3 linked regions of the Macaca mulatta genome follow. The protein of the gene in region 1 interacts with the protein of each later gene in a pairwise test. Links are inferred from orthologs where the notes say so. Each region holds a gene or a part of one and is shown on either strand. Other genes may lie near its edges. The genes, in order: CERT1, ACTL8 and CSNK1G2.

What was found.
Region 2: the proteins of CERT1 (region 1) and ACTL8 interact in binary tests that used the Homo sapiens proteins (3 or more experiments, as listed by UniProt). The two-hybrid records come from large-scale screens. The link is inferred for Macaca mulatta from reciprocal best matches to the Homo sapiens genes CERT1 and ACTL8.
Region 3: the proteins of CERT1 (region 1) and CSNK1G2 interact in binary tests that used the Homo sapiens proteins (3 or more experiments, as listed by UniProt). The two-hybrid records come from large-scale screens. The link is inferred for Macaca mulatta from reciprocal best matches to the Homo sapiens genes CERT1 and CSNK1G2.

Annotation. Positions count from the first base shown.
Region 1 is NC_133411.1:81,909,729-81,917,709, forward strand, and holds the start of CERT1 (ceramide transfer protein), read right to left. Parts: upstream 5,181-7,981; 5' UTR 4,759-5,180; coding exon 4,663-4,758; intron 1-4,662. UniProt on the Homo sapiens protein: Shelters ceramides and diacylglycerol lipids inside its START domain and mediates the intracellular trafficking of ceramides and diacylglycerol lipids in a non-vesicular manner.
Region 2 is NC_133406.1:223,237,209-223,245,181, forward strand, and holds the start of ACTL8 (actin-like protein 8), read right to left. Parts: upstream 5,272-7,973; 5' UTR 5,102-5,271; intron 1-5,101.
Region 3 is NC_133424.1:2,687,114-2,695,057, reverse strand, and holds the start of CSNK1G2 (casein kinase I), read right to left. Parts: upstream 5,285-7,944; 5' UTR 5,040-5,284; coding exon 4,853-5,039; exon of another isoform or gene 4,852-4,852; intron 1-4,851. Other genes in the region: uncharacterized protein LOC144336971, read right to left, coding at 5,285-5,304. UniProt on the Homo sapiens protein: Serine/threonine-protein kinase. Casein kinases are operationally defined by their preferential utilization of acidic proteins such as caseins as substrates. It can phosphorylate a large number of proteins. Participates in Wnt signaling.

The sequences.
Region 1 (7,981 bases):
TCCTAAGTACCTTCATGATACTTGTTTTGGTCCTTGTCATAATTAACATATTCAACAGAGAAGTATGTTCAGTTAGGTATGGAGTCTCTCATTTTCTGACACCAAAGACTGCATGAAGCCTTCTAAATCAACGGAAGTATAAAGTCAATTATTACTAAACTCTACTTTTGTTGTTATTCCCATATGAAAATTTATAATGGTCATAACTATATCAAAATAAAAATAATAATCTTTAGTAAGTTGGCATCAACTTTAACTTCTCCTCTACAGAACTGAATAATATTTAAAATGGCCAATTCATTTTCCAAGTTTCTCTGAACATATATTTTTCAAACTCAAGAGTAATAAAACAAAAATAAAATTGGTTTTCAAAAACATATAGGATTGCCTTCAATACCTTAAAAGAGTTTCTGTGTTGCTAAAGTCTTGCTGCACAGTGAACATCACAATAAACTGGAAAAGGGAGAAATGTAACCTTTACAGGACTACTTATTTTTGCATGTTTTTATCTATGCTCTGGGGTTTTAAGTATAGAAAAATCTCAAAACTATCTGCCAATTCCAAAAACTAATTAAAAATGGATTGCCAAAATATACTGCATTGGCTCAGGCTCTATATCCACTGAGAAATCTTTTTCTATTCTCTAATTAAGCATTTTTGAGATTTATTCAGTTCTTAAATTTTCTTTTATTTTGTATTTTTTTGAGACAGGGTCTCACTCTGTCACTCAGGATGGAGTGCAGTGGCACCATCTCAGCTCACTGCAACCTCCCGGGCTCAATCTTCCTTCCTCCTCTTCCCAAGTGATTGAGACTACAGGTGCGTGCCCCCACGTCTGGCTAACTTTTTGTAGTGATGAGGTTTCACTATGGTGCCAAGGCTGGTTTCAAACTCCTGGGCTCAAGGATCTGTTTTCCTTGGTCTCCCAAAGTGCTGGGACTACAGGTGAGCCACCATCCCTAGCCAGTTCTTAATTTTTCTAAGCCCCATCATTACAACCCCTCTCTGAGAACTCATCCAAGCTGACAATTTAACTCATTCTAGTGGCTCCTAATCACCACTTCCTTATTTCTAACCGCTTGTGATGTACCACCACTTAGACAAAGGGTTGAAATAAATGATAGTTACCAACAAAACTGAATTTACTTCTATAAGGTGTACTTCCTTCCTATTTTCCTACTTCTTCTTTCCTGCTACTTCTGCTCAGAGTCTGTGTATTAGATATACAAACAGATTAGTGTATACAGGATTAAACAGGCTCAACTACTCTACAACTCACGTGAAGAGAGTTTTGACAAGTTACTTTTGTAAGCTTCAGTTTCTTTGCCTGTTGATTGATGGCTGAATAAAATAATGAAAATGCCTAGCATAGTCACAGAAGATACTCCTAAGTGTTCCTTCTCAATATTTATAGCCCATCACCAAAACCTGCTTATCTTTCCTTCATAGTAAACCCTTAAATTTGCCTCCTCTTCTCATTTTCAACTATTCCAATCAAATTACCCAGTTCCTGTATTCCTTACAGGACTTAATCTTTTCTCTAGTATCTTCTGTGTTTTTCATAATTTACACAAGCTTATTTACTTACTAAGCATGTTTGCTTACTTTTCTTACATGTTGACCGTATTGAGTCTCCAGCTCCAAAACTTACATGGACAACTTCCCACTGACTGTCATACAAATTGTTTAGGGCATTCAAGACCCACCATGGATTAATCTTACCTCATTTATAATTACCACACTTCATAAGGCTAAATTTTGTGATAGTGGTCAAGTTACTTACTCTGTGTTCTTTTCTTTGTCAAACTCTGTCTCTCAGAGTTAAGTTTAAACAAGAATAGACTTAGAACAGTGCCTGGACATAGTATTTTCTGAATCTGAGGAAGAGTTATACATGGCTAATGAAGCTTAACCTTCAGCATTTCTCACTAGAACAGAACTCTTTCAATATTAGAGAAGGGACCCCAGCAATTATGTATCCGTAATTCAATATTATGTTCTTGTAAGAGGCTGAACAAACTATATCAGCTTCAGGACTCTTTTCTCAGTAAGCTGTTAGCTGTTATTATGACACCTGGAAGACAAGTTTTTTGTCTTTTCTCTGCTCTCATAATGTTCCCTCACTCTTCCCCATTTAACAAATACAGACAAGGCAATATGCTAGACATTGCAGGAGAACTGAATGTTACTGTGGCAAACAGGCCAGCAAACACAAACACAAGAGAAAAAAATATATATTTAGAATAAAACAAAATGCTATGGGAATTCAAGTGAAGGAGGTCTTGAATGATGGCAAAATACAAAAAGGCTTTACGGAAAGGACAGTATTTGACTTGGACTCTTAAGGATGGATAGAATTTCAAACAGTTTAGTGTGTGCAAAAACAGAAGGTAAACCATGAAGGATGGAGGAAATTCAGAAATTGAATGAGATTATTTTATCCAGCCTTAGTTGCTCTCAAGTCCTACTAAGGCATGCATCTTTTCCCCACCATGATCCATCACGATACTTGTTATAACCAGACAGAATTATTGTCTATCAAGTATTTTTGGAATCTATACACTTAAGTGATTTATAAGAAATATGCTTCATAGGTATTTCCATATATTTCAGATTACCATATGGAAAATACCCTTTGAACTGGTATATTTCTAATATAAATTTACCCAAGCCCATTCCAAATCCACCCCATTTTGGGGGACAAACGAAACAAATTGTACCGGGACTTATTTACATTATTCAATGGAAGGAAAAGAACAAAAGCCGAGTTCTGATCCTTGTTTAAATTACCAGGTGAATATGAAGAATTCAAAATATATAATTTACATTTAAAAACATGCACCATACTCAGTATGAGTATATATATTCAATTTAGAATACCCTTGATTAAAAAGTTTCCAGAAAACACTGTATATAACCATAAATTGGTAAATCTCAGGAAAATTTCCTTCATAGCTATTAGCAAGAATACCAAAAGCTGTATTCCTATTCATTCTACATAAGAAGCAACAGTCAAAATTTAAGTTATTCACCTTCCACAGAGGTGATCAAATGCATTTGTATGCATTTAAATATCGAGATTGGTCTTCCATTTTTTGATCTATAGTATACCTACTCCACATAAAGTAAAACTCAGAGCACTGGTGACTTTTTCCCCCAGTCACTCCATTCCCCCAACCCCCAAAAAAGTAATTATCAGTAGGTCAAAATTACAATTTGTTTTGTAAAATACTCAACACATCACATTACTAATATGGCAGTCAGCTTCCCATCTTATGAGCAGTGATGAAACTATCAAAATCACTGAGAAGCAAGTAACCCACTTCCTATTATCAACTGAAAATGTGTACCTACTACACAATGTGTTCAATAGAGATTCCTAAATTACAGGATACATTTAATGTAAAGAAATCCTGAGGAGCTTCTCGTTACTGAAAACCTTGCATTGAAATTTCAAGAATGATCACAGCATCAATATACAACTAATTTTTCGGCTATACAAATAAAAGTCAACACTTGCAATCCTTAGTTCTGACTACTCATGCCTTTTCTAGTTCCCTTCTCATTAGCTTTCTACAGACATTATAAAAGCATTATATTAAACAATTCCACAAATAATGTCCAAGTGATGTGCCAAAGTATGAATACTGGAAACAGGGTGATTTCTTAATAGCCAGTAGCTGCACATGACATAGTATCTTATGACCAGCTTGTTGAGGGACTGGCCCAGCTCCCCCTCTCCAAGTTAACTGCTAGCTCCAGCCATTTCTAAAAAAGTTTAACAGGAAGGGGGAGAGAAGTCCAAAAGGCTATGTGAATCTTCTTATAGCAAAAACTTAAAAAAAAAAAAAATCCCAACCACGTAATATCAAGAGATCACCCATCTGCAGTTCTATAATGGCTGCTTTCCTAAAATTTTGATACACGGATTTTAAAAAATACATAAAAGGTAAAACATCTTTTCCTTACCCTGGACCCCTTACCGCAAAAAGAGTTTATTATTAAATAATGCTCTTCTTCCTGGACTAAAGATCAGTCTCCTTTCTCACATGTTTCAAGTTACTATGAATATTTCCTGTACCCATCACGTGCCGATTCAATATCTCTATTCTGAACTAAGGTACAGGGTGAGGGAGAAAGTCCTCCACATTAATCTGTCTCACTACATCTAACCTGGCGAGTTCAACACCTCAAATTTCAACACCAAGCTGAGTCGCTCCGGCTTCTGTCGAAACAGCTGCGTCCGCAGTGCCCCCCAACCTACTCGGCTTAGCATCCTCAGACAGACCAACCTCTTTTAAGAGGTCCGACTTGAACCGCTCCCGTGCCCAGTCGTTCGGACACCGCTGAAGCCCAACCCGGATTCCTTACACCCGGGACAGCTGCCGCCCTAGGTCCCAAGGCACGGCACGCATCTGGTCTCCCAAACTGGATCCCCGGTTGATACACCCTTTCCCTGGTCCTCGGCTGCCCCCGACGAGCCCTCGGGCAGCAAGGACAGGCCCCCTATATCCCCGCCTCATCCCTAGTCGCCGCAGCAGTACTCAGCCTCGCACCCCGGCACGTTCCGCGCCTCCCGCCAGCCCCACCCCACCGCCTCAGCGGATTGCCTCGCGGCAGGTGAGTCTGGCCAGGGGTCCCCTGGCACCACCGGTTGCTCACCTTACTGAGGACCCCGCAGCGCTCCACAGGCGGCCCAGATTCCGTCTCTGGATCCTCCTCCGAGCCCGACGAGTTCCAGCTCTGATTATCCGACATGGAGGCGCGACAGCCGAGCAGGAGACCGGCCCCCGCTCCCTCAACTGCGCCGGAGGAGGCGCCCAGTCCTCGGGGTGAAGGGTCGGGGGATGGCGAAGCGAAGAGTGCCAGCTCCGCTGTGGGGGGGAGCAGGAGGAGGGACGAAGTCCGCTCGCCGCGCCGCCGCCGCGCCTGACACCGAGCGGAGCGGGGAAGGAGGACGAGCGGTGAAGGAAGCCTACCCTTCCAGCCGTCAGCCGCCGCCGCCGTCGCCGGGACCCCTGCGTTGCGCCCGGTGCTGCCACCCGAGCTTAGCCCCCTCGATGCCAATTTCAAATAGCGAAGGAAAAGGGAGAAGAAGGGAAGAGAAAATCCGGCCGCTGAGACCCGAGTACACTCACACCTCCGCTACCGCCGCCATCTTGCTGCCTGGCCCACTATTTACCCTCCCCTCCCCTGTCCTTTCCCCTCCCCTTCGTCCTCCCATTCTCCCCTCCTCCTCCCCGCCCCGTCCCCCTCCCGGCGTCTGACGCGACACGCCAAGCGTGCGGGATCCTCCTCCCGCACCCTACCTCCGGCTCTCCCGGATGACGAGGGGTAGAAAAGTAGGAGGAGCGCAGTAAGGAGAGGGCGGGATAGGGATGCCGCTGTGCTGCATTCTGGGAAGGGCGTTGGTTCGTCGCTCGCCCAGCCTCCTGGGAGTTGTAGTCGCGATCCTGAGGTAACGGGTGAGTATCCCGCGCGGGGATCGCTTGTCGCCTTGGGGACTTGTCAGTCGGTGGGTGGGCTTCGTTTGACAGTTGCGTGACCTGCCTCTTGGCCTCGCTTCTATCCTTGCCTTGTGTGTTTATGACGAACCCTCCGGGCTTGCGGGCCAGGACGTGAGAGAGCTTTCTGCTGAAGATGACGGGCCTGCGTTGCAGGGCTGCTTGTCGAAAGCCCGGGAGCGCGTAGCCGCTTCCGCCTCAACCACGGGATGGGGTTTTGTGAGCTCCTAGTGCCAAGGGGGTTTTCTTTCCACCAGACCACCGCTGTAAATCTCGAGGGTCTTACCCATTAGAAGTTAGAATTCACATTTGACGTTTAAAGGAAGAATTTCCTTAGTACCTTCTGACAAGCACGCACTTCGCATTTTTAGATTTCTAGAATTTTCTTTGTGGAAAGTAATTTTGAGGTTGTCAGAGAATAAATAACGTTAGAAAGGTTTTTAAAGTAAAACAAGAATGTCAGATGATAGCCTGGGATTTTCTCTTAGTTGTAAATGAATATCTTACTGAGAACCACGTTAACCATGCCTGCCCCTCAAAGATAGGAAAGTTTGGATATATAGAAACTTTCTCGTATTAGAAATACGAGATTAGGGGATTAGGCAATAGGTGGCTATTTTTAAGACTAGGGTTGAATTAGCAGAAAGACCAAAAGAAGATCTAACAGCTCTTGTCAGTTGTCAAGGATAACTTTGATGGTGAGACCTTTGACTTTGTAGCTTCAGTAATTTCCTCTCGTTAGCTATTTTAATATAGTCGAGTTCCTGATAATTGCCAAGAGTAAAATTTGTTATTAAGCCTTAGAAAGAATACCTTTTTTACTACAAGGATGGGACAATAGGAGCGAAATTTCGAGTCTAAGGGAAAACGCTAGCCGAGTGCCGTGGCTCACGCCTGTAATCCCAGCACTTTGGGAGGCCGAGTTGGGCGGATCACCTGAGGCCGGGAGTTTGAGACCACCCCGTCTCTACTAAAAATACAAAGATTAGCCGAGCAGGGTGGCGGGTGCCTGTAATTCCAGCTCTTTATATCCTGGTTTCAAATCTAGGCTTGATGACCTTTTCCCATATCCCAGTTTCCTATTTTTTACTTCCTCAATGGGGGATTAATTACGATTCTAAATGTTTGGTAGCATGAAGCTAGGTTATCTCTATCGTGGCAGTGGATATTTAAGTAGGCATTGCCAATATGTATCTTGCTTTCTTTTACTTCCTTTTCTGACCATCCACACTCCATTTATATTGATGAATTCTTTTACTAATGTCAATTATTACTGTATTATGCTCATACTGCCATGTCTTATTCTGCAGCTTTGATCCTTAAGGTGACTTAGCATATCTGTCTAAGACTCCTTTATCTGTTGATTTTTACCATTTAAGGTTCCAAAGGCAGCTGTATTTTTGGAAAAGTGGGAGGGAAGAGGTAGATGGGGGTACTCATTGATACCTTAATGCACTTCACAGCTACTTGAGAATATGTCAGATCCCACAAAAAGTTCTAACATTCGAGAATAAGACAGTGATTTCAGAAATGGAATTTCAAAGGGTGTGTAGGCCACCCTTTTTATTCTGTTTCCTGTTGTACAAATGAGAGCCAGGCGAGGAATGTTTCAAGGAGAAATATTCTTACTATTCAATGAAATTGAAAAATATATTCCCTTATCTTTTACTCATATCTGTTTGGTTTATGGGATAAAAACTTGTTAGGGTAGTTGGTATTTCATAGGCTTCACTATAACATTGAAAAACCTTTTAGTCTAAAAATCACACAGTACAGTACACTGATGAACAGTATTAGTGCCCACTCTTGGCATGTACACATGTTCTTTCTTTCGTTTTTATTTTGCTTAGCTTTTGAATTGCTTTTCCTGTTAGATTGAGAAATTATTTTATTAATATTTTAAAGGCATACTATATAAAGCAGTGTGGTGGTATCTTATGTATCAGTAGAATCCTCATGATAGTTATTTTGTAAACGTGTTTTGCTTCTTGTTTTTTTCTAACCCTTTTATTGTTTCACTTCTATAATTTCAAATCTTTTTCTTCTTAGTCAAATAAGTTGAAAAAATATTTCTATAGAGCATACATGTTGCTATGGTGATAGCTTATGAAAATATAGTTTATCCCTGTTTAAGATCTTTATTAAGATCTTGCTATATGATCATCTGAGATACTATAAAAGTAAAATATAAACCATTTCTGTAGAGTCATTGTTTTCTAGCATTTTACTGTCTAGGTATTCTGACAATAATTATGTGTAGAAAGTGAATAAAGATTTTAAATTGCCTGTGACGTAGGAGGTTTTCAGTAAATAATAACCGATGAATGAAATAAGTTTAGCCTGGTTGATAATTGAAGGGAAGTTGTAGGAACTGCCATTAACAGGGCCCAAGAAAAAAATCACTAACGTGATTAAAATCAGTCAGAGACCAAAGAATCAAATAACATCATAGCTTTTTGTAAGTAGCAAGTGTCATT
Region 2 (7,973 bases), on another chromosome or scaffold:
CACCTTCTGAGTCCAGAAATGTCTCTGAGCAGGGCACCAAGACCCTTTGCCACCCCCCTGGGCTCTTGGTCTGTGAACACATAATGGCTAGCACCAGGGAGAAGCTAGGACATCCTGCCTGAAACACCTAAAAATGGCAGTCCTGTTGGCTGCCACCACTGCGCATCTGCTCCATGCCAGCCCCATGCCAAGTACCCCTCATGCATTATCCCACTCAGTCCTGGCAACGATCCCATGCACGCCTGTGAAAAATCCATTTCACAGATTAGGAAAAAGGCGATGGGGCAAAGTCCCACACCGAGTCACCAGTTTGAGCTGCCACCCTCATCTGGGGAATTGAAGACTGGCATCTCCCCTCCTATTCACTCCTTCTAAGATCCACATCGAATTCATCAGTGTTACTTAAAACAAAACAGACCCACAAAACTTCCAGCAGCTCCTCGGCACCCTCTAGACCAAGTGAAAGCCCTGTGGTCTGGCCTTCCCAAAGGAACCCCATTCAAGGTATTTATCCAAGAGATACGAAAACGTATCACACAAAAAAGCCCGTCCACTCAAGAATACACGTCGTAGATTATTCATAATAGCCCCAAATTGGAAAACCGTGGACAAACTGTGGCCAGTGTGTACGACGGGCATCACTCTGCATCCTATCAGGAGGGGGAAGCTGGGCAGTCATTTGAATAGGTAAGTTTCATATAAAGGATTATTAACCATAATGGGAGATGGAATTAATAAGAAATTGGCTAGAAAGAAGGAAAGGGAACTCTGAAGAATATAGGTTTAGGAGACAAAAGGAGCAGCTGCTGCCCCCCAGGGCTGAAAGAGACCCTCAGAGGCAAGAGTCCCCCACCCCACCCAGTGCTGAGCTAGAGTATCATGCAAACGCAGCTTCTCCAGGGCTGACGTCCAGCCCTCAAGGAAGAGGCTTCTACTCCAGTGCTATGGCAGAGCCCCTGAATAACAGCTCCTCAACTTGGGCTGAGAAAATGCCCAAGGAGGAGCCTCCACCCAGAAACAAGCATCCTCCCACAAACACCCCTGAGGGCTGATATCCAGGCCTTGCTGAAGACGGTATGGCTGTGCCTCCCTACATAGGGGAAAAAAGAGTTGGTCTAGAGCACACCAGCAGAACTTGCAAGAAAGCCAACCTGTAGAACTTACCAGAAATCTGCCCCACAGGGTGCCACAAAAGCTGCTTACACGTGTCTCACCAGAGGCACCCACTACAAAACTGCCTAAAAGAAAGTGCTGCTGGCCTCTGCTGAGCAAAACAGCAGCCAGCACTGAGCAGCTGCACGTGCTGCAGGAGCAGGCCCTGTGAGCAGGGGGCAACCAGGAAGCAGAAGGTCCCTGCTGCAGAGGCTCCCCAGCGCCCTCTACTGGCAAAGCCCAGCTTGCTGCCTGGACAGGGAGAAAATTTAAAGGGCCCAGATCCATTTTCACCAGGCAGGCAAGAAGGGTGATTGGACACTGAAAAGCAGTAATTGATACCCAGAAAAGGCCATCTCTTTGACTACTTGCCTTCCATAGGAATCCTCCTGCACACCACTGAAGTCCCGTATAACAACACAACGGTGTATTTCTATCTAAGAAGATACAGTTATCATTCTTATAAGTTCTCACTCCCCAAAACAAGGAAACTAATAGGCCCAGGAGTCATCGTGGACTATATTTATTATGACTTAAATACCAATCACAGTTCCATGGAACATTCTGTCACCTAAATACTACAAAGTTGACTTCCAAAAACTTCCATATAAAACAAAAATGGGAAGAAGAGAGAAGAAAATGGATAATCACCAAGTGTGCTTACTTAACTGTTTATTCAGGAGCTCAGAAAATAACTTCAGGGTGGGCATGGACCAAGCAAATCTACTGTGAGTCAGACTAGAGCTAAGACTCTATCCCTGACCATCACAAGCCCCACTTTGACTTATGAACCAGAGTGGCATTTTAGATCCCCAGGAACCAGCATCAGTTCAGAGTGAGTGTCAAGTAACTCCAGAACTGTCTGGGTATGTCCATTTCCCCATTATTCTGGTAAATGGTCACAGGTCCCTTTGGAGGAAGGTTTGGAGGAAGATTTACAATAAGTATTTATGGCAGATGCAGGCTCCCTCCTCAAGGTGACCCGGCCACCCAGGGATTCTGGGTCTGTGAATTAACTCAGGGTCTGGAAACTGGATGAGAAGCCATGACTGTCGATTGCCATGTTTTGGCTACTGGGTCTAGAACTTTCTATCACATATAAAAATACATGAAATAATATTCTAGTAGGCTGCCCACTTATTTCATTCCCAGAAACACTCTGATCAATTCACCACCACTAAAAATCCCGATGGGCAAAGGCATTCTGCCAGCCCATACATTCCTGCTACCCTTTCCAGTGTGTGCCTACCTTGTCCTTGACAGTAAAGTGCTGCCCCTTGGTCTCTGCTACTTCAGGACCCCCTTATCCCCACTGAAATCAGGGAGCCCAACTCAATGGAGGCAGCCTCTATATTCACAGTGGCCTACAAAAGAGAGCAGCCGCCATGCATTTCAAGGACAAAGGGGCTCCCTCACTAATGGATCTCTCTATGTCTCTGTCTTTGGGTCCTTCTTGTGGAACATAGGTGGTGGCAGCAGGAGAGTGCAGATTAGACATGATACATGCAGTCCAACATTGCGGTCTCCCCGAGCCTTTGGATTCCCTCCTCCACATCATGACATCACAACCTTCATTAACTGCAGGTTACTGTCAAGTCCAAGTTTCAGTCAACCAACCAAGTTGCTAGAGCCACCTCCAGCTGCAGAAGCTAACAGCCAAATTCAGAACCTCTAATGAGTGTGCCCCTATTAAGGCATTCAGCCCAATCTAGGGTTACATTCTGCCTTTCTGGATCTAAAATCCTTAGAATCCACTCCCATGTGTGTCACCAGTCTTGTCATTCTTTTTCTGTTTCCTCCTAGGTCAGTCTGTACCCATCACCATGGAACATGCTGAGATTTGACCACAGCTAGGGTCTAGTGACAACAGCAGGTGGCTGTGGTGAGTCTTGAGAATGGGCATCGCCTTTCAAGACATCTGCCCCAGCCGAGATTATCACAGGGTTTCTTAACAGAGGAAGACCAGTCTCCTCATGCACTGAGGAGGGCAAGGTATTTCCACTTGATAAGCTGAGGGACGTGGTGGGCTCAGAGTGACTTGTAGTTTAGGTTGTTGGTTTCATCACAGTTCAACAAATGTCCCCACTCCATGTTTCAGGATCCCATTCTTTCACAATTCATGCCCTAATTTGTCCAGATGTGATTCCAACTGTTGTCATAATTCAGCAACCAGCACAATTAAATTTGTTGTTTGATTTTCGGCAGTATCAGCCCTGTGGCTGCAAGAAATAAGAACTTCCTTAAGGGCTGCCATAGAAGCTGTCTGATTCTCAGACTGTGGCTCAAGGAGAGAGTTAATGGACCTGGGCTTGTCATTTTCTATGTCATTATCTACACATTTGTCAAATTTTTATGATATTATTATTTTTTTAGAGATAGGGTCTTGCTCTGTCACCTGGCTAGAGTGCAGTGGTGCAATCGTAGCTTACTGCAGCCTCAAACCCCTGGGCTGAAGCAGTCTGCCTGCCTCAGCCTCCCAAAGTGTTGGGATTAAAGGCCTGAGCCACCATGCCTGTGCCCGGCCTGCCTATACATGTTTTAAATAGAGCATTGTATCTGGTTCCTCGAAGACAGAAGCCCTCAAAAGGATCCATCCCACTCCACAGTTCTCACAGTCCTCATTATGGTCACACAGTCAAGTGCAGCATCACTCTGGCTCCCAAGGGAAGTGCCTCAGGTGGCATTTTGTCTTAATCAACCACAAGGGATAGACTGATTAATTTTAATGTCACCACATGTCTTGAGTAACTAGCGCCCCATTTCCCATTGGCAAGGAACTTTTCACTCAAGCCCAAAATCACCAGAAAACCAATCCCCAAATGGTACCTCTGTGGGTCCATCTCCTGATACCTATTCCTGACACCAATTCTGTATCAGTTTGGGTACAGTTAAGGAAACTATACAGTGATTTTTATAGGGAAAGTTTCATATGAAGAATTATTAACTTATAACCGAGGACTGAATTAACAAGAAATTGACTATAAGGAGTAAAAAGAATGATAATTAATACAGAAGCAGCAGACACAAAGAGCGACCACAACCCACAGAGCTGAGATGGAGCCTCTGAGGACCAGACCCCACCCAGAGCTGTGATAACCCCCTGCTAAGAATCCCCCACACCAGAGCTGGATAAAGCCCTCAAGGAGGAACCCCTCAAGGCCAAGATAGAGTCCCCAAGAAAGAGCCCTTGGGGGCTTTCATAGGTTCCCCAAAGATGAGTCCCCCACCAGAGGTTAAAAAAAAGTTCCCAAGAAGAGGCCCCCAAGGCTGAGCCACAGCTCCTGGGAAGAACCCCTATTCAAGGGATAAGGTAGAGCCCCAAAGATGAGTTCCCAGAGCTACCAAGGAAGGGCCCCCCGCCTGGCCACCCAGGGCTGTCATTGATCCCCCAAGGAAGAGTTCCCTCCCAGGGCTGAAATAAAGTCCACAAGGAAAAAACCCCTGAGGGCTGTAGTAGAGTCCCCAAGAAACACCCTCCTGCCCCTGTGGCAGAGACAATGTCCTCAAAAAAAAAAAGCCCTCCCAGGGTTGAGGAACAGCCCCCCACCCCAGGACTGAAATAGAGCCCCAAAAAGAGACCCTGACATAGAGATAGCAACCCAAAAAGAGCCCTTTACCCCAGGGAAGGGGTCTTCCACCAGGTTAAGATAAACCCCTTCAGGAGGTGCCCCAACAAGAGGCTAAGCTAGGACCCCCAAGGAAGGACCCTCAGCCCCACACATGTGGCTGAGGTACAGCCGCTATGGAAGAGTCTCCTCCAAAAGCTGAAATCTAGGTAGAGCCTGTCACCGCCCCCTGCCCCCCACAAAGAAGTGTCCCACACACACACCCTTGGGGGCTGACATCCAGGCCTTGCTTAAGAGGGCATATCTGTGCCATGGGAAGAAAAAAAAAAAAACAGGGGCCACAGCCAGCCAAAGTTATTAGAAATTCAACCTGTAGAACTCACCAGAAATCTGCCCTGTAAGATGCCACAAAAGCTGCTCTCAGAAGCAGTGTCTCACAAGAGGCACTCACTGCAAAACTACTCAAAAACGCTGCTGTGGGAGCTGCCGACCTCCCCCGTGCACTGCGAGCGCCAGCACTAGCGGCTGCACGTGGTGCCGGAGCCTACCCTGTGAGCACGTGGCAACCAGGAAGTGGAACCTCCCCGCTGCTAGGGCTCCCCAGCGCCCTCTACTGGCAAAGCCCAGCATGCCCGCTGGCCAGGGAGAACATTTAAAGGGCCCAGATCCATTTTCACCAAGCAGGCAAGAAGGGTGAATGTGGAGCAGAGAGGCAATAATTTGATAACCAGCAACAGTGAAATATCAGCAGTGAAAAAGAAAATAACTACTGACACATAAAACAACATGCATTAATCATATACATATTATGCTGAGTAAAAGAAACCAGACACAAAGCAGCACAATCTGTAAGTTTCCACTTATATGATGCACAAGTTATCTGAAAAGGAATTTGGAGGAAAGAGACTTTAGTACAGAAAACAGTTTGCAAACTTGGAGATGCACCCTCCACTGGAAAATGAAGGGGAGTTCCTAAGAATGAGGGAAAGGATCAGGTTTTACAGCAAAAGTTCCTGCCCAGGTTCCCAATCAGATCAAGTAGTGCCAATGAAGGATTGAAACTTGCTTAGTTCTGATTGGTCAATACAGCTGAGCTCTGATTGGTTGATACAGCCAGGCCCTGATTGGTTGATATACTTGAGCCCTGATTGGTTGGTTCAGGTAAGCTGGGAAAGTACCAAAGATAAAAAGGTACCGGTTTTCGGGAGAAATCAGGGTACTTATGTGAACCCTAGTCAGCAAGTGGCTGCTTCACTCTATTTTAAATTTAGGCCCACTTAGCCATTCTGATTTGGGGGCGGGGGGTAGTATTTATTTCTTTTGTAGAGAACAGGGTCTTGCTATGTTGCCCAGTCTGGTCTTAAACTCAGGGGCTCAAGTGATCCCACCACCTTGGCCTCCGGAAGTGCTGGGATTACAGGCAAGAACCACGGAGCCTGGCCCACTTAGCCACTCAGGATCCATCTTGAAGATCTGGCACTTTCAGGTTCACATTTGTTCACAATATGAAGTTCAAGAACAGGCAAAGCAACCTACAGTGACAAAAATTTAAAAAAAAAAAATACAGGTGGAGATGGGTTTATTTTGCTGGAAGGGGGCACAATAGAATTTTCTAGGGCAATGGAAGTACTCTCTATTGCAATTGGGGTGCTGTATATATTTGTGAAAATTCATACTGAACACTAAGATCTGTGTGTTGCATTGCAGATAAATTATACCTCAGTTTTTTAAAATTAGCCCCCAAACTTGATTTCAAATCCAGTCACTGTGTACTACCTGTACGCAGTGGGTGATATGGTTTGGCTTTGTGTCCCCACCCAAATCTCACATTGAATTTTAATAATCCGCAAGTGTCCAGGATGGGGCCAGGTGGAGATCATTGAATCATGGGGACTGTTTCCCCCATAGTGCTCTCATGATCATAAGTCTCATGAGATCTGATGGTTTTACAAATGGGAGTTCCCCTGCACAAGCTTTTTGCCTTCTGCCATGTAAGACATGACTTTCCTTTGCCTTCCAACTTGATTGTGAGGCCTCCCCAGCCGTGTGGAACTGAGTCCATTAAACGTCTTTCCTTTATAAATTACACAGCTCTGAGTATGTCTTTATTAGCAGCATGAGAACAGGCTAACACAGTGGGTAAACAAATATTCTTGAATAAATAAATGCACACATGAATCACACATTCTTTTTGCTCTTCTCACATCAAATTTCTGATGTTTCCCCCAAATTACTAATCTATTGGCCTGCTTTTCTGGGCTCCCATAGTCCTCTCCTCTTAGTCCAGTTGCAGTTTTTATTACACTAATGTTAGCTTCAGAGAGGCAAAAATCTCTGGTTCTACCAGAGAACCCAGCATGTCTTGAGTGCTCTGTGCCTGACGCTCTTTTCGGAACTCTCATATGACAATAATCTATGTGGTAATTACTCCTCTCGTCCCCATTTTACAGATGAAGAAACTGAAGTATAGTTTGTCCCAGGGCCCACACTCTTTATCACTTTGTCTTAGAAGTCAGACCGTCCTAGGTTCAAATCTCAGCTCTTCCACTTACTAACCATGGGTCTTGGGCAGGGCAACTGATTGATGCAGGGCAGGCAAGCCCCAAAGCAGAGCTTGGCCCATGAGGGTTCTTGGCTTCCTCCAGGAAAACATTCAAGGGTGAGAAGAAAGGGTAGAAGAAAGCAGAATTTTATTTAAGGGCCAGTGTTACAGCTCCAGCCTTTGACTGCTCCTGCAGAGCAGGGCTACCCATAGGCAGAGCAGCAGCTCAGGGCAGTCTCAGTCATATTTATACCCATGTTTAATTACATGGAGATTAAGTGATGGTTTATACAGTAATTGCTAGGAAAGGGGTAGTAACTTTTGGGTTGTGAGATCATTGCCATGGAAAGGGGTGGTAACTCCTGCATGTTGCCATGGCAATGGTAAACTGACATGGCCTACTGGTGGATGTGCCTTATAGAAAGCTGCTTTGCCCCGTCTGTTTTAGCTAGTCCTCCATTTGGTCCAGTGTCCAAGCCCCACATCCGGAGTCAAGACCTGCCTCCCACCTCATGATCACTCTGAATCTTGCTCTACTCATCTTTGAAATGGGGATAATAATATTTTCTTCTTGGGTTGTCTTGAGGTACAAATGAGCTTATCCACATAGAACTTTTAGCAGCGTCCACCGCAGAACAACCACTTACTCTCGGTAAATGACAAATTTCATCCGTTCTAAGACACACATTTTCACATTTTCACATCCTTGAAAT
Region 3 (7,944 bases), on another chromosome or scaffold:
GAGGACGGGGTTTGGCGTGCCCATTCGCCCTTGCGGCACACCCTGCCGTCTCCAGTTCTGACTCCCCAGAGCGGAGCTCGGCGAACACGGCTGTGCAGCTCTTCCTGCGGGCAGTTGTCCCCTTCTCTGGCAAAGCGTCGGCCACGTGCTGACCACCACCAAGGGCTGAGCTGCGCTCCCCCAACGGAAGAGGCCAAGCCCTCGCCTGTGTGCTGCGCCGTCCCTCCGCTGTCTGTCGATGTATCATCCGGCTGTGGTTCCCCGACACTTAGGCGGATGCTCGGTCTTGCCCAGCCTGGCTGGCCTCATGCTTTTGGCAGTGTCGTGATGAGCAGACCTTCGAAGCTCTGATGCCTCTGATGGTGATGTGGTCTTTCCCGGCTCTTCCACTCTGCGCTGTGGAAGAAACCTTCGCCTGACCCCACCGCTGTGTGCAGACGGCATTTCAGAGACCTGGGTGTGCGCTGGGCGGGTGTGGCAGCGTCTGAGGCCTGTGGATCTCAGACGCCTGGAGGAGGTCGGGCGCTCTGGGCTCTGAAAGCCGAAGGGGCTTCTCCGGCAGTACTCGCGGTGCAGGCAGAGGGCAGGAGACCCCATGGGGCCTGGCAGAGAACAGCTCCAGAGAGGCTCAGGAGGTTCCGGGGGACACACAGGCGGGAGGATGCTACACCTCCAACAGCCGGAGCGCGGGGTCCTCCCTGGATTCTCTGACTTCAGCTGAGAACCCAAAAGGTCCACAGCTTGGCACAGGGCTTCCTGGCCTTGGAGTCACTCATGTTTACCCTCGGCCCTGCCCCAGCAACACCGAAACCAACCCTGACAGAAACAAGGTGAGCCACAGGGACAAACGCAGCGCTCAAGCTGGGAGACCGCACCCTCCACACCTCATGGCACACACCACGGCCACACCCACTGAGGCTGTCCCACAGGTGAATGAAGGGGGTGTGACCGTGACAAGCGAGAAAGTCAGCAGCAGCACAGACGTCATTCCACACAGTGCTGTGTCTTTGATGCACCCCCCCAAGGGTCATGTGTTGGGAACTGGGTCCCCAATCCAGCACTGTTGGGGCTGGGTCACTGCCCTGGTGGATGGATGAATGCCATCAGCATGGGAGCGGGCTCCTGATTAAAGGGCAAATCCAGCCCCCTCCGGTCCTTGCCCTCCTGCCTTCCACCATGGGATGACACAGCAAGAAGGTCCTTGCCAGACGCCATCCTCAATCTGAAGACTGCCAGCCTCCAGAACACTGAGTCTGTCAATTTCTGTTCACTATAAATGACCCAGTCAGGCGCGGTGGCTCACACCTGTAATCCCAGCACTTTGGGAGGCTGAGGCAGGCGGATCACAAGGTCAGGAGTTCCAGACCAGCCTGGCCAACACAGTGAAACCCCATCTCTACTAAAAATACAAAAATTAGCTGGGAATGGTGGTGTGCGCCTGTAATCCCAGCTACTTGGGAGGCTGAGGCAGGAGAATCACTTGAACCCAGGAGGCGGAGGTTGTGGTGAGTCAAGATCGTACCACTGCACTCTAGCCTGGGCAACAGAGCAAGACTCCATCTCAAAAAAAATTTTAAAAGGCCGGGCGCGCTGGCTCAAGCCTGTAATCCCAGCACTTTGGGAGGCCGAGACGGGCGGATCACGAGGTCAGGAGATCGAGACCATCCTGGCTAATACGGTGAAACCCCGTCTCTACTAAAAATACAAAAAACTAGCCGGGCGAGGTGGTAGGCGCCTGTAGTCCCAGCTACTCGGGAGGCTGAGGCAGGAGAATGGCGTAAACCCGGAGGCAGAGCTTGCAGTGAGCTGAGATCCGGCCACTGCACTCCAGCCTGGGCGACAGAGCAAGAATCCATCTCAAAAAATAAATAAATAAATAAAATAAAAAAATTAAAAAAAAATGACCCAGTCTATGGTATTCTGTTATAGCAGCACAAAATGGACTAAGAAACAGCACAAACATGTTCAAAGATGTAAAGGAAAAGATGGCCAAAATCAATGTGCACATGGGAAATCTCAGCTGAGATCGAATGGAGAATCATACGGAACTGAAAAATGCCACTAAGCGATCAAAGATGCACCGCATGGACTTCCAGGGTTGGAGGCTGTAGAAAAAGAGTAAACTTACAGCAAGCAGCAGCAGCCGCACAGCCTGACACCAGGAGAATAGAGACTTAGGGAAAACAGCCAGGGCCGAGGGACCTGCAGACAGCGCCAAGCACTTGCGTCACACGCAGAACCAGAACCCAAGAATGAGAGCAAGGCTGGGCCAGTCCAAAACTTCCGGGGTCAGCCAGGCATGGTGGTTCACGCCTGTAATCCCAGCACTTTCAGAGGCCAAGGTAGGCGGATCACCTGAGGTCAGGAGTTTGAGACCAGCCTGGCCAACATGGTGAAACCCCGTCTCTACTAAAAAATACAAAAAATTAGTTGGGTGTGGTGGGGTGCACCTGTAATCCCAGCTACTTGGGAAGCTGAGGCAGGAGAATTGCTTGAACCTAGGAGGTGGAGGTTGCAGTGAGCTGAGATTGCGCCATTGCACTCCAGCCTGGGCAGAGCAAGACTCTGTCTCAAAAAAAAAAGCAGGCCAGGTGCAGTAGCTCACGTGTGTAACACCGCTTTCGGAGGCCAAGGCAGGTGGATCACCTGAGGTCAGGCGTTCGAGACCAGCCTGTCCAACATGGTGAAACCCCATGTCTACTAAAAATAGAAAAAATGGCCAGGCGCGTTGGCTCACGCCTGTAATCCCAGCACTTTGGGAGGCTGAGGCGGGCAGATCATGAGGTCAGGAGATCGAGACCATCCTGGCTAACACAGCAAAACCCCGTCTCTACTAAAAATACAAAAAATTAGCCGGGTGCGGTGGTGGGCACCTGTAGTCCCAGCTACTTGGGAGGCAGGAGAATGGCGTGAACCCGGGAGGCGGAGCTTGCAGTGAGCCAAGATCGCGCCACTGCACTCCAGCCTGGGCGACAGAGCAAGACTCCGTCTCAAAAAAAAAAAAAAAAAAAAGGCTGGCAAGCTGGCATCACCCATATGTCACTCTCACCTCTCACCTGCCTACGGGGACCTGCACTGTTCAGCGGCCTGCAACCACCGCTCAAGGACAGGACCCACACAGTCATCTGGGTCCCCAAAAGCCATATCCCGCAGGCTGCAGGTCACAGGGCTGTGCCAGGCGTGTGTGTGCAGATGTGCCTGTGTGCACATGGTTGTGGCTGTGCGTGCCTGTGTGCATGTGCTTTAGTGTGCACATGTACGTGTGTGGGCATGTGTGTACACATCTGCATGTGTCTGCACGTGTGTCTGAGTATGTGCGCACACACACAGGGTTGGGAGGCCACAGCTACCGTCGGGAAAAGCTCACTCTCTTGGCTGAGAAACGGAGCCCGGGGCCTCCCGAGCCACAGGCCATCAGACAGGCAGTGGCGCCCAAGCCCAGCCTCTGCGCAAAAGAGTGGAATCCCAGCAGCCTCCCCAAGGGCTGGGGTGGAATCTGGTTCGGGATGGGGTCTCAAACGGGCCTCCTGGGGCCCCGGGTGCAGCCAATGGGAACACTGAGGCAGCCAACAGTGACCCCGACAGCTGCGCTCGCCTGGGAGAAGCTGCTTGACTCAGGACACACACTTCTGCCACGTAACTGCCTGCTGAACCCACTTCTGAACAGTGGCAACTACCATTCATCCCTATTTAACAGGTGGGTAAACTGAGGCAGGTGGGAAGCGGGGTCACAAAACATGCCTGGGGTCCAGGTGGCTACAGCCCATGCTCCTGCACCCCTGGGCAGCCGCTCTTGAAGGTGCAACCACAACATACCCACTGCCTGGGCCTCAGTTTCCCTCATCTGACAACCTCATTGGGCCGAGGGGCCGGATTCCAGTACTGCCTGCCGTGGGTGCCCACGTGAGGCTGATCCACTGCCGTGGCCTCCCAGACCTGCCCATCCTGCGCCCTTTCCCAGAGACCCCGACTCCCACCACGACAGACATTGACCGGGGGTGCACTTGGGTCTTCCGGACAACCCCAGCAACAGACGCCAAATGCCCTCCCGCAGGAGCTCGGCGTTGGCCGTACACCCAGCAGCACCAGGAATGAATTTAGTATTTCTGGGGATGATCCGGCTCCCTGGCACAGCTAATCACGAACTGCCACTGGCCCCAAACGTGCTCAGAGCTCCCCCAGGCCTGGTGGTCATCTTCAGGCACCCCCACCCAAGGGAAGGCGCCCCTGGCCAGTAACAGGCTCAGTCCTCGGCCCTGCTCCTCACGCCTGCCCGGGCAATCAGATCGCGACCCGGGAGAGGTCAGTGTGAGCAGAAGGCATGGAGCCAGGTGGGCCTGGTGCGGCGTTTTACACGGTGAAGCTGGGAGTGGCACACAGCAGCGTCATCACCACAAAACAGTCACTCCAGTCACCCGACGCTGGCTCCGTGCTGGCGCCTGCGGTTAAGGCCAGGGCTTTGCCCAGCACGGACATGGGCTGTGGAAGTCATTCATGACTTAATACTCGGACTCCTTGCGGCATGGCCTGGCCTGCTCTGGGCCACCTGCCTCCCAACTGAATTGTTTCCCGAAAAGGTGACAGGGCCAGAAACCCACTGTCCCCATGGGGCTTCCTCGAAGGGAAGTGACACTCATACCACGATGGACAGATGATTCAACACATGCCAGTGACCCGGGGTGGCCTCGCCGGAGGCTCCGGTGACCCCGTGCGGCCCCGCCGGAGGATCCCGTGACCCGGGTGGCCCCACTGGAGGCTCTGGTGACCCCGTGCGGCCCCACTGGAGGCTCCGGTGACCCCGTGCGGCCCTGCCAGCAGCCTCCCACCCCATCAGCCACGAGCAGGGCCTCACCTAGGCGGAGCTCCCCGAAGTTGCCGCAGCCGATCTTCTTGCCGACGCGGAAGTTGGGGCCCACCATCAGGACCCCCGAGCTGGTCCCCGAGCTCCGGATGCCGTGGCTGCTCCGGCCCCCGCCGGCCTTGGACATTCTCCGGCCCTCCTCTGTCTCCCCTTTCCCTCCTTTCTTGTCAAAATCCATAAGTTTGTGATACCCTGGCCTCTCCACGGTGGCTCTGCTGCCGTGCAAATCCCAAGTCTCTGGAAACCTGAGGTCTTGGCTCCTCTGTGGCTAGAACATCACCGCGGCTGGCGGGCGGGCGTGGGCCCGCGGCTCCCGGCTACTGAGACGCAGGCACTGGGGCCGGCCAGGCCGCGGTGCTCATCTCAGTGGCCTTGGGGTGGCTCTCGGGGGCAGGAGACATTCTGTTGACAGGTCCCACCGCCTCAAAGCTCACGGCTCACAGCTGTGGAGAAACAGAGGCACAGGTGAGCGCCGGCGAGGACACGGGGCGGAGGCCACAGAGGACGCAGCCAGGGGGCTGCCGGGCTGGAAGGAGCTCTGAAGGCCGGGACACGACAAGCACTGCCCGTGCCCGGAACGCGGCTGGGAAGCACGTGCCACATGACATTAGAGGCCAGAGGTCTCGGCGTGGCTGCCTAGAGACTAACAGGGTAGGGCTCAGGGGCCTTTCTGTGAAGCAAGATGGGTGGGTGGGTGGCACAGGTGGGAGAACGTACTGCTGGGAGGGCATGCCTGCCCATCCCAGGGAGAGGCCCTGAGGATCCTGAAGCCAGGGGTCAGTCGCACCCCCAGACACAGAAGGGCCACACAACAGTCCCCATCTCCAGGCCCAGGGCTGCTCTGAGAAAGAGGGAGGGAGGCAGATGACAGCAGGCAGACCTGAGGCAGGGACACAGAAGCCACAGAGCTGCCCCTGCCCATGGCGGCCAGGGGACACTGAAAGTGGGGAGAGTGGACCGGAGGGCAGGAGGCCCCAGCGAGCCGTAAGCTGCTGCAGGAATCCCCACGGCCTGACCCAGGCTCGGGTCGTTCTCCAGCAGCCACTGGTGGAGCGGGGCAGGCTGGACACCACTCGGGGCTGTGACAATGCCAGGGTGGGTCCCACCCAGCCCCTTCGGTGCAGAGCGGAGCTGAGAAGGGTATGGCGGGGCCTGAGGGAGGCAGGTGAGGAGGGGCCACGGGTGCACAGCCATCGCCGAAAATGTTAGGACAGGAACTCCCAGCTGAATAAGCCACAACAGAAACAAAGGCACCAGCGTCACAAGCACTGCCCCACTGCACGTGGCAACCGTGTTCTGGTACGAGAAACACCCTGAGGTGATCGCAAGCGTGCCTTGGGGTTCCACGCGGCAATAGCCACTCAGATGTTTTCGTTTCCTGGTGCGCACAAAAGTTACGTTCACAGTGTACCACGGTATGCCGTGGTACACTGTGAACGGACACACTTTAATTAAGTGGGGCATGGTGCCGCAAGCCTGTGGTGCCAGCTAGTCGGGAGACTGAGGCGGCAGGATCGCTTGAGTCCAGGAGGCGGAGGCTGTAGGGAGCCATGATCATACCACTGCACTCCAGCCCGGGTGATACAGCGAGACCCCATCTTAACTAAATAAGAGAGAAATAAAAATACTTTACTGCTAAACAACGCTAACGATCGTCGGACTGTGAGTGCGCCCTAATCTCCCTGGAGGAGGGTCTTGCCTCGACGTGGACGCCGGCTGACTCATCGGGGCAGCGGCTGCCGGAGGCGAGGGCAACTTCTTAAACTATGACCACAAAAAAGTCGGCCGCAGCAACCGACTCTTCCTTTCATCAAAGATTTCTTTGTGGGGCGTGATGCTGTCTGATAGCATTTATCACCCACAGCAGAACGTCTTTCAAAACTGCAGTCGGTCCTCTCGACCCAGCCGCGGCTTCGTCAACTGAGGTTCCGAGCTATTCCAAGTCCTCTGTCCTCATTTCCACCAGGTTCACAGAACCTTCACTGGGACTACAGAGCAGCTGAAGCAACTCCCCTGCTCACCCTCAAGAGGCAACGCCTCGGCTGGGCGCGGTGGCTCACGCCTGGAATCCCAGCACTTCGGGAGGCCGAGGCGGGCAGATCACGAGGTCAGGAGATCGAGACCTGGCTGACCAACATGGTGAAACTCCGTCTCTACTAAAAATACAAAAAATTAGCCAGGTGCGGTGCCGGGCGCCTGTAGTCCCGGCTCTAGGGAGGCTGAGGCAGGAGAATGGCGTGAACCCGGGAGGTAGAGCTGGCAGGGAGCCGAGATCGCGCCACTGCACTCCAGCCTGGGTGACAGAGCAAGACTCCGTCTCAAAAAAAAAAGAGGCAACTCCTCACGTGTGAAAGTTTCTTGTGAGATGGCAGCACTGCAGTCACATCTCCAAGTTCCTCTCATTCTAGCTGTCTTCCTGCTTCTAAAACCTCTGCAGTTCCTCCTCCATGGAAGTCCTGAACCCTCACAGTGATCCTTCAGGCCTGGGATCAACTTCCTCCAAACTTCCACGAATCCTGCCATTTGACCTCCTCCCATGGATCACACGTGTCCTGCACGGTCTCTAGAATGGCAAATCCTTTCCGGGGGTTTCAATTTACTCAATTTCCCCAGCTCCATCAGAGTGATTGCTCTCCACGGCACCTACAAGCACCCAGAGTCTTACAAATGTATTTCTCAATAATGAGAGTTGTGGGCGGGTGCGGTGGCTACTGCCTGTAACCCCAATACTTTTGGAGGCTGACCCAAGTGGACTGCTTGAGGCCAGGAGTTCAAGACCAGCCTGGGCAAGCAACACAGGGAGACCCTATCTCTACAAAAATAAAATCAAAATTAGCCAGGCATGGTGGTGTACACCTGTAGTCCTAGCTACTTAGGAGACTGAGGTGAGAGAATCGCTTGGGCCTGGGAGGTAGAGGCTACAGTGAGCTGTGATTCTGCTTCTCCACTGCAGCCTGGGCGACACAGTGAGACCTTGCCTCAAAAACAGTGAGACTTGGCCGGGCACTGTGGCTCATGCCTGTAGTCCCAGCACTTTGGGAGGCTGAGGTGGGCAGACTGCTTTGAACTCAGGAGTTCAAGAC